2 linked regions of the Sus scrofa genome follow. The protein of the gene in region 1 interacts with the protein of each later gene in a biochemical or structural test. Links are inferred from orthologs where the notes say so. Each region holds a gene or a part of one and is shown on either strand. Other genes may lie near its edges.

Evidence for each region.
Region 2: the proteins of SMARCA5 (region 1) and POLE3 form a complex in vitro, tested with the Homo sapiens proteins (2 studies listed by BioGRID). The link is inferred for Sus scrofa from reciprocal best matches to the Homo sapiens genes SMARCA5 and POLE3.

Annotation. Positions count from the first base shown.
Region 1 is NC_010450.4:84,222,037-84,226,400, forward strand, and holds the start of SMARCA5 (SWI/SNF-related matrix-associated actin-dependent regulator of chromatin subfamily A member 5), read right to left. Parts: upstream 2,908-4,364; 5' UTR 2,388-2,907; coding exon 2,211-2,387; intron 1-2,210. UniProt on the Homo sapiens protein: ATPase that possesses intrinsic ATP-dependent nucleosome-remodeling activity.
Region 2 is NC_010443.5:254,033,149-254,037,541, reverse strand, and holds POLE3 (DNA polymerase epsilon subunit 3), read left to right. Parts: upstream 1-1,317; 5' UTR 1,318-1,637; coding exon 1,638-1,703; intron 1,704-1,803; coding exon 1,804-1,889; intron 1,890-2,248; coding exon 2,249-2,367; intron 2,368-2,637; coding exon 2,638-2,810; 3' UTR 2,811-4,164; downstream 4,165-4,393. UniProt on the Homo sapiens protein: Accessory component of the DNA polymerase epsilon complex. Participates in DNA repair and in chromosomal DNA replication.

The sequences.
Region 1 (4,364 bases):
CCTACACAACAACTCCTGGCATTGCCGGATCCTTAACCCACTGAGCAAGGCCAGGGGGATCGAACCTGCAACCTCATGATTCCTAGTCAGATTCGTTTCCACTACGCAATGACGGGAACTCCTAAAATATTTTTTTAAGTTGTGAAACAGATTGTCAGATACGTTACACATGTATGCAGAAATCTAGTTTTTAACCAGTGAACTTCAATGATTTCTAAATTCAGTTAAGGAAAAAGAAGAGACTGAAGGTATTTTTTTTTTTAAGACCCCCCCCCCAAAATGAAAAAAAGAAAAACCACCCTATAATGTAAGGGAAAAAACAAAAACTAAAACTATTCAGTGAAAAGGTGGATAAAACTACTGATATTCCTATACTGAGAAGGTAAAAGATAACTAAATCATTCTTTAATAAATAAAAATTGTCAAACATCTTTTTTTAAGACTATGACAGGGCAAGATACGTGGGGAAATGGTCAGCTTCAGAGCCAGACCTGGGTTCTATCACAGGTTCTACTTACCAGAAGACTCAATTTTCTCATTTGGCAAATAAAAATACCACTGACTTCATATGGTCCTTGTTATATCCTTAATAATCATAGTTAAACTTTTATTCCACTTTAACTTTAAAAATAGCAACTGAAGCCAAAATATTCAGTTTAGGCTTTAAATTATTCTGCTTTCTGATTCTGTAACACCCCTAGTGAGACTGTGCTTGTTATTCCAAAATTTGAATGACAGCCCCCTTTGAGAAGCTGAGAACAGCAAAACATCAATTTGTTCAGAACGGTATATTTACATACAATTGCTTTCAATGTCAGACTTTCAAACCCCCTTAGGCCAGGAAGCAGGAATCCACGTTAACCCTGATAATTCAAAAAACGATTTAAAACCTAAAGAGAAAAATAGGCAACACCAGACAGGAATTTGAAACAAATCTCAAGACACCGAAAACTACAGAATACCAGAAGTCCTATTCTATCGAGGTCCACCTTCACCTAAAAGTTCTTCCAAAAACTAACGTGTTACTTCATCCTAGACTAGACCGCTGGGGCCCAAATAAAACTACTGCGCCAAATGCTTCAATGGTAAACCGCGCTACCATTTCCTTATTGCGTTAATTCTGCAGCAATGTTCATTTTTAAAGCAGTATTACCTTAGCTCAATCTATCTAAGGATGGAAAAGTCCCAGAAATCTCTGGCCTGCGACTATAACATATATCAAAACAGATCGAAAGCCAAGAATAAAATTTGGAAGGAGCAAGCAATCACTTTGTTCCCAGACATCGCAAAGCCTTGGAGCACACCCAAGAGACCCGCCTGGCTGTTCCCCAATCTTTCCACCCCCGCAGTATTGTCACCATCCCCTGGCCGGCCAACCCCAGCCCAGAAGGCAGGCTCCGCGGCAGGGAGGGGTACCAATTCTCAAATACAGGCCAATGCCCTACAGGAGTGCTGGTCTGAAAACCCCCAACCCCCCCCCAACCCCTGACTCACTAAATCATTCATCCTTCCATCCATCACCCCACCCCCAAATTAGATGGGGGTTCCAGACAGCTGCCGCTGCCTTGGTCGCTTCCCTCCCAATGGAACAGCGCCTGGGAGGAGCCTCCTCTCCCTTCACAGGAGCAGCTGCGCCCCGCTTATCCCCACTGCGCCCTCAGCCATCCAGCTCTCGCCATTGTTTCTGCCCAGAACAGATACCGCCCCCGCAAGGACCGGGATGAAGAAAAGGAGGCCCAAATCCTCGGATGCGCTGCTTTTAAATGCCTTCCCCACCCCGTCCGTCTACCCTCGTTCCTAAAGGGAAATCTCCCTCCCCCTCCCCCCAGGTTTAGTGGAAACTAAAATCGAGATTCAGAGATGGGCGAGGGAATTATGGGAGCCTCACTTAAAAAAAAAAGTCGGCAGATCCGTCTCGGCCTCAGTAATCAAGAACATGTGTCTAATAAGAGCGTTTGAGGATTTGGCAAGGTTCGCGAAAGAGACAAATAACGCAAATATGAGGTGCCAGAGACCCAGCTGAGTCTACTTGCATAGGTAAGCAGAAGGGCGCAAGGGAGAGCATCATTTCGGATCATCCAAGGGTCTGAGGCCGAGTTTGGGTGCAGAGGAGTGAAGTTCGGCTTCGCGTTTTATCACCAATACACAGCAGAGGGAACCAGTTCCTCCTCCCTATCCCGCCCTCTCCCCATGCCACAGGCCGTCCTTACCTCCATCTCGGAGTCCGTGGGGCCGGCGCCGGCCGCGGAGGGAGCCGCCGGGACGCCGAAGCCCTCGGGGCCGCCTTTGTTGCTGTTGTTGCTCCCGCTACAGGCGGCGGAGGATGCGGGCTTGGAAGGCGCGCTCTCGGGAGGCGGGGGTGGCGGAGGGTCGGCCGCGGACGACATGATGTTCCGTCTGCGTCACCCGCTGCTGCCAGAGGCCCGGCCCAGCAGGGATGAGGAGGAGGCCTAGGCCTGGGTGGCTACGTCGCAGTGAGCCGATGGAGGAGCGGAAGGACCACCCGAATGCTTCCTCTCCGCAGCTCGGCGACGAGCCCAAGCCAGGCCCAGGAGCCTCCCCCTCTAGCTGTCCTCCTCTTCCTCCCGGCTCTGGGTTCGACCGGCGCTTTACCTCACGGCGGGAATCACGTCGACGAGGGTGGGCGGGGCCACCCGGGTCACTGAGGTCAGAGAAGGCAGGCCGATTTACAGGAGGGCGGAGAGTTGGGGGAAAAAGAAAGGAAAGCAAGAAGGACCAAGACCAGGAACTAGCCTAGCCGCCTCCTCTTCTTCCTCTGGTAGATATCAGGTATCTCGCCAGCATCCAGGTCTACTACCTACGCCACCGACTTTCAACACTCGCGAGATTGATAGTTAGCTAAGAGACCGGGGTTTCAAAGTACGCATGCGCATTCTCTACTCCAAGCTCTTGGCCACGCCCCCTGTGCCCCTACGGGCTCTAGGGCGATGAGTGGGCGGGGCCTCAAAGGAGGGCTCGGAGACGTAAGTTTGTGCGTCGGTTTCCGGGCGTGACGCCACCGCAGTCTTACAGTCGTTCTTAACGGCTCGCTGTGCCGGGTCGCTGTGCTTCCCCAGCTTGGCAGTAATCCCAGCGCTGCTCGAAAAATTGCCCGGGTCTTGCGCCGCCTGCTGCAGCGTAGAGGCTTCTGCAGGCCTCTCTTTTACCGCCTCCGCTTATTGGCGTGACGCCACAGAGTTGACAATGATACGGTTTTCCCAGTTGACGTCTCACTGTTTTGTTGTCTAAGAAGAGTGCCTGTTAGTGTGATTTTTGTTTGTTTTGTCATCCTTATGTTAGCTATATGATTGATCATTTCTAAATTCCTTCTTCGGTAGAGTTAGACGATATTTCCTCTAAGTTTACATGCTAAAAGTAAGCAAACTGCGCCAACCACCATGTGAGAAACAAGAGTAATTAGCAGATAAGAAAGAGAGGTAATAGGTTATATCTTTTCCTCAACCACCAAATATTAAATAAAAACAGACATTCTTCTAAAAAAGTGTTACAAGTAATCACTGGTTTGTACATTGCTTTACGCTATGTTCAACACAGCCTTTTGCATCCACCTACTGCAGAATTTAAGCACATGGTGTTCTATTTGACAGCAAATCTGCATACTGCACTAAATTGTTATTTGCCCTGCATAGGCTCTTACTCATCTTTATATCCCCATATCCAATATTCTATTAGTACGTATTGAATAAAGGAGACAAACTTGTCAAGAGTCAAGGTTTGACCAAACCATTGACTATGCTGAATTACAAACAGAAGGGATTTCCTTTGAATATTTAACCTGCAAACTTTTAACCAATTCAATGATAATTCTTTGAGATCTGGAAGAATGTTCCCCAGCCTATTAGAAATGCCCTGTCTGAGACTCTAGGGAACCCCCAAGGATAGATAAAAAGAAAACTATATAAATGATGATCATCATCGTCTTTATATGTACTTGAGAAATGCTAGCACAATATAGTCCAACATTGAAAGTTTGATTTTAAAACTGTTGTATACCACAAAGTGAATTATTATTAACTTGTAACAACCAGACTGTAGAAAAAAGTTTATTATATAGTAGTAACTAAAAAATTTTAACAGTTCAAAAATATAGATAAAACTTTGGAAGGATAGTCCTAAAATTATTGAAAGTGATTGTTGTTGATGTATATTACCTAATTCATTTTTGTTTCTCTTTTTTTATTTTTCTAAAATGAGTTTGTGTATTATTATTTATTTTATTTTATTTTTTTGCTTTTTAGGGCTGCACCCTGGGTATGTGGAGTTCCCAGGCTAGGGGTCCAATTGGAGCTACAGCTGCCAGCCTACACCATAGCAATGCAGAATCAGAGCCATGTCTGTGACCT
Region 2 (4,393 bases), on another chromosome or scaffold:
ATTGACCACCAAATATGGGAAGGGACCTGTTATGGGCATAGAGAACAATAATGACCAAAAAAAGTCCCAGTTCTAAAGAGTTTATAATATAAGCCAAAGATAGCAAACTACTGGCCTGGGATTGCACCTGGCATATAACTTGTTTTGTATGGCCTGCACTTTGAGCCATTATTTAAAGATGGAAATAGCCCATAATGTTCAGATTTCTGGGTTCTCTCAAAGGGGGGTCCAATTCCAACTAGACAGCCACTGGCTGGAGCTGTGTACCTCCTGACATCTTTAAACCATGTGTATTCTAGTCAAGTGGAGCCCTCCCCCACCAAACCCCATATTCTCTAAGAGAAGAGTTTCAGTTGCCATTTATCACTGCATTTGCTGTTGTTTTTCTCATAATAGGGAAATAGTTCTCTGTACTCATGTTTCTATCAAAAACAGGAAAACTAAGCATGACCTGAGGCAGCAGGTTTCAAGGAAAACAACTGTTCAGTGGGAGTGAGGAGAGTTTCTACTACGTAATATGAAAATGATACAACTTAAAAAGCCAATGCAGTATTTCTCTTGTGGCGCAGAGTGTTAAGGGTACCTCCCACCTGAGTCACTGCTGTGGTGCAGGTTCCATCCCTGGCCTGAGAACTTCCATATGCAGTGGTCGCCCCACCGCTCCCTCGGGGGGGGGGGGGGGGACCATTGTAAAACCATGCTGATGCTTTTGACTAGGAAAGATGAACGATGATCAAGTCAATGAACTAAAACATAAATACAAGTTTAACAGGGTTTGTTTTTGAATGCGAATGTTATTCTTAAAACCGGCTGCTTATGGACCTTTTGTTACCTGACCAGCTCGAAGTGAACCCCAAGGTCTAATCATGCCCATCTTTTTGTTGCCAGCCCTACACTGTACTGACAAAGTAGTCTGCATTAAAAATTTTAGGTTAACACTTATCCTTAATACCATTATTACAAAGTTGAGAGCGGTGAAAAGATTTAAGAGGGGATATCAGGGCCTGGAGAGTTCAATAAAGATTCCCTGCTTCCAGAAGAGGGAAGTGGGAGAATCCGGCCAAGGAGGGCCGCGCTTCCGCGGAGCCAAAGCAGAGGCCAAGCGGCTAGGAAGCCGAAGCCTACAAGGAAGACGCTGCTCCTCAACCCGCGGTGAAGACAGCAGCGGGGCCAAGCGCCAGGTCCCGCCTCTCTTCCGAAGGGACCCGCCCCGCCGGCTCAGTCCACGCCTTCGTCTCCCAAGCCAGCCTCCGACAGCACCGTTGCCAGGCAGCGGCGCAGAGCACTATGGGAAAGGGACGGAAGCCCCAGAAGGCCATACTTAATTTGCTAAGCAAGTTCCAGACGAGGTGGTGGCGTGAAGCAGGGAAGCGAGCTTGGGAAGGGGCGCCAGGTGCCGTTGTGGCCTGATAGAAACCCCTAGGGCTAAAACTAGCGGCGTGGAAAGTTCAGATGAACAGACGACTGCAGTCGGAGGCGGGGCTGGGGGAGGAGGGAGGATATGGCGCGCGGGGCACTGTGGGACACGGTGTGGGCAAAACGGGGCGGAACGGAAGCCTCGTTGGGTCAGACGGTGGCGACGCGGGAAGTCCGGACGCTGTAGCGGCCTGAAGAGGAGGCCGGCTCCGGCCGTGGCAATGGCGGAGAGGCCCGAGGACCTAAACCTGCCCAATGCCGTCATCACCAGGATCATCAAGGAGGCGGTGAGCATCTCCGGCTGGCGGATGGGCCAGGGGCGGACGAGCAGGCAAGGGTAAAGAGGTCCTGGGGCAGTAGCTTTGCTCACCCCCTCTCTTGTCACAGCTCCCGGAAGGTGTCAACATCTCCAAGGAGGCCCGGAGCGCCATCTCCCGCGCCGCCAGCGTCTTCGTGTTGTACGCCACATCCTGGTGAGGCGGGCAGAGCTAACCAGAGCTTAGCTGGGGGCTGAGGCTTAAGGGAGACGCAGACACCCCCCCCACCCCTGGTTCGGAGTTCGCGGCCTAGAACCCGCAAACCCCAATAATTATGATCTTCCCCAGTGGAGGGAGGTTCAGAGTCTTCATCCAGGTATTGCAAGCTGTGGAACAAAATAAAACAGAGTAACTTTGCCTTACCCTTTTGTACAGGGAAGGGAGGGACTTACTGTGTCACCAAAATCCATGTATCTTAGACTTGGGCATTTCCATTCCACCTCTGGGTCGTCCTTTTCCCACTCACTGCATACGGGCCAAGAAGGATTCTGACAGCCCTTAATCTTCTTGTTCAGCGCCAACAACTTCGCGATGAAAGGGAAACGCAAGACGCTGAATGCCAGCGATGTTCTCTCAGCCATGGAGGAGATGGAGTTTCAGCGGTTCGTTACTCCCTTAAAAGAAGCTCTGGAAGGTAACGACCTCTTCGTTTACTCAACCAAGTAGATGTTCATCCTGTATGACCTGCTCACTTGGCCCTAAGTCTTCATTAGCTTGAGTCCCTTTAGGTCCAGTAAGCAAGTATTGGGTGAGATTCAAATGGCACTACCTCATATCAGTTTTGTGATGCTGGGCAGGTTATTTTTCCTTCTGTGCCTCAGTGTTTCCAGTTATGCAGTGGTATTAGTGGCTGCAGTCTGTTTGGTTCAGCCTTGTCTCCCAACTCCCTCCTTCATCCTTACAGCTTATAGAAGGGAGCAGAAAGGTAAGAAGGAAGCTTCAGAGCAAAAGAAGAAGGACAAAGACAAAAAAACAGATTCAGAAGAGCAAGACAAGAGCAGGGATGAGGACAACGACGAAGATGAGGAAAGGCTGGAGGAAGAAGAACAGAATGAAGAGGAGGACGTGGACAACTGAAGAGGATGGGGAGACTGGCGCCTTGGAAGGTACAGCTCTGAAACGTTTGTGTGCAGCTTTTTCCTGCTGGACAGAGTAGTCTTGGGCAGAAGAGCCTGAGAAGATGGAAGTAAAAACTGATTAAAATTATCATCAAAACCAGCGTGTCCCAGATTCAGAGCATCTGAGTAGCAGAATCTTGTTTTGCTTCATGAGCCTGAAGGTTATGACTTTTTGGCAGGAGGGATTATGAACAGCCAATTGGTCACTGGGAGCATTTTTGTTTACTTACGTACATAGTTAGGCAGTTGTTGATCCCCAGGTCCCACCCATTCACCCACGGCTCAAAAAAGTAACAAAGCTTCCATGCCACCTACTGCGTTCCAAATCACAGAAGCAGTCAAGACTCAGGAAAACCTGGGGCTTTGCTTATAGACAGCCTATTTGTACAGTATTTGGCAATACTAGCTTCTTACAAGTGATCAGAATGACTTAGCTTTAGGAAACCACTAAAGGGTGTAGAACAGTGAAATCTGTTCTTTTGTCTCTTCACTTGACAGTAACATTAACTGAATTTTGGTTTTTACAGACCCACTTGGCTTAGAGCCCTTCTCTATTGCCAGTAGGCATGTAACCCGCTTGGGTGGCTACCTTCTGGGCACCAAATGCATTTACATCAGCAGTGTAGAGTAGAATTAGTCAAGCAAGATTGCCAATGTGTCTTACAACAGATGGTGTAGTCTTGAATGCACCTCACTGCCTGCCATTGTACAGCTTTAGGGTATGTGGTCACCTCCTGGAAGGTATAAAACTCCAGGCTTTCTCTTGTAGTCCCGCTCCCGGATTTGTGGTATGGCTTTTCATTCTTCTAATTCCTGATGAATTCCAAACTTTCTTTCTTCTAGGTACAACGTTCTTGCTCTGTGCTTCTCTCCTGTCTCTGTTCTGCCTCTCCTCTGCTCCCCATTCCCACTTTCTGTCCCTCCTTTTTTCACTTCTGCCAGGAACTTTGATGACCTGCTTAATATCTCAAACTATGGGTTCCTCTGATTCCCTAGTTCTAATCTCATGTCTTTTAAAAATGATTTTGTAGACCTCTCTGAACGTTAAGGGAAATCCGATGGTGCTCAGGAATCCAATTCCTCCCCCAAGCCATCCCTTCTAAAGTATCTCTGTTAACCTTATTTTCTTTCCATTTGGCGCTTCAAGCACTTTTTGTCTCTAAGTTGAGTGCTTGGAGGTTGACAGGTAGTGAAATATAGTTTGATGCTGTTCATTTGTTAAACGAATCCAGTGAAAAGTTTGTCAAGAAATGAGTGAAGGATATTGAGAAAATTATAATGCCTTGTATAAATAAAAAACATTCTTGTAAAAAGTGACGTCTCCTATTTCATCCTACTTGTTTATAAGTGTGCTTTTGGGGAGGACCCACTGATCATGCGCTGCAGTTTTTAGAGTGTAGACGAGGACAGACCCTTATAAATATGAGGTCCTGGAGTTCCCGTTGTGGTTCAGTGGTTAACCATGAGGTTGCAGGTTCAATCCCTGGTGTCGATCAGTGGGTTAAGGATCCAGCATTGCCGTGAGTTATGGTGTAGGTTGAA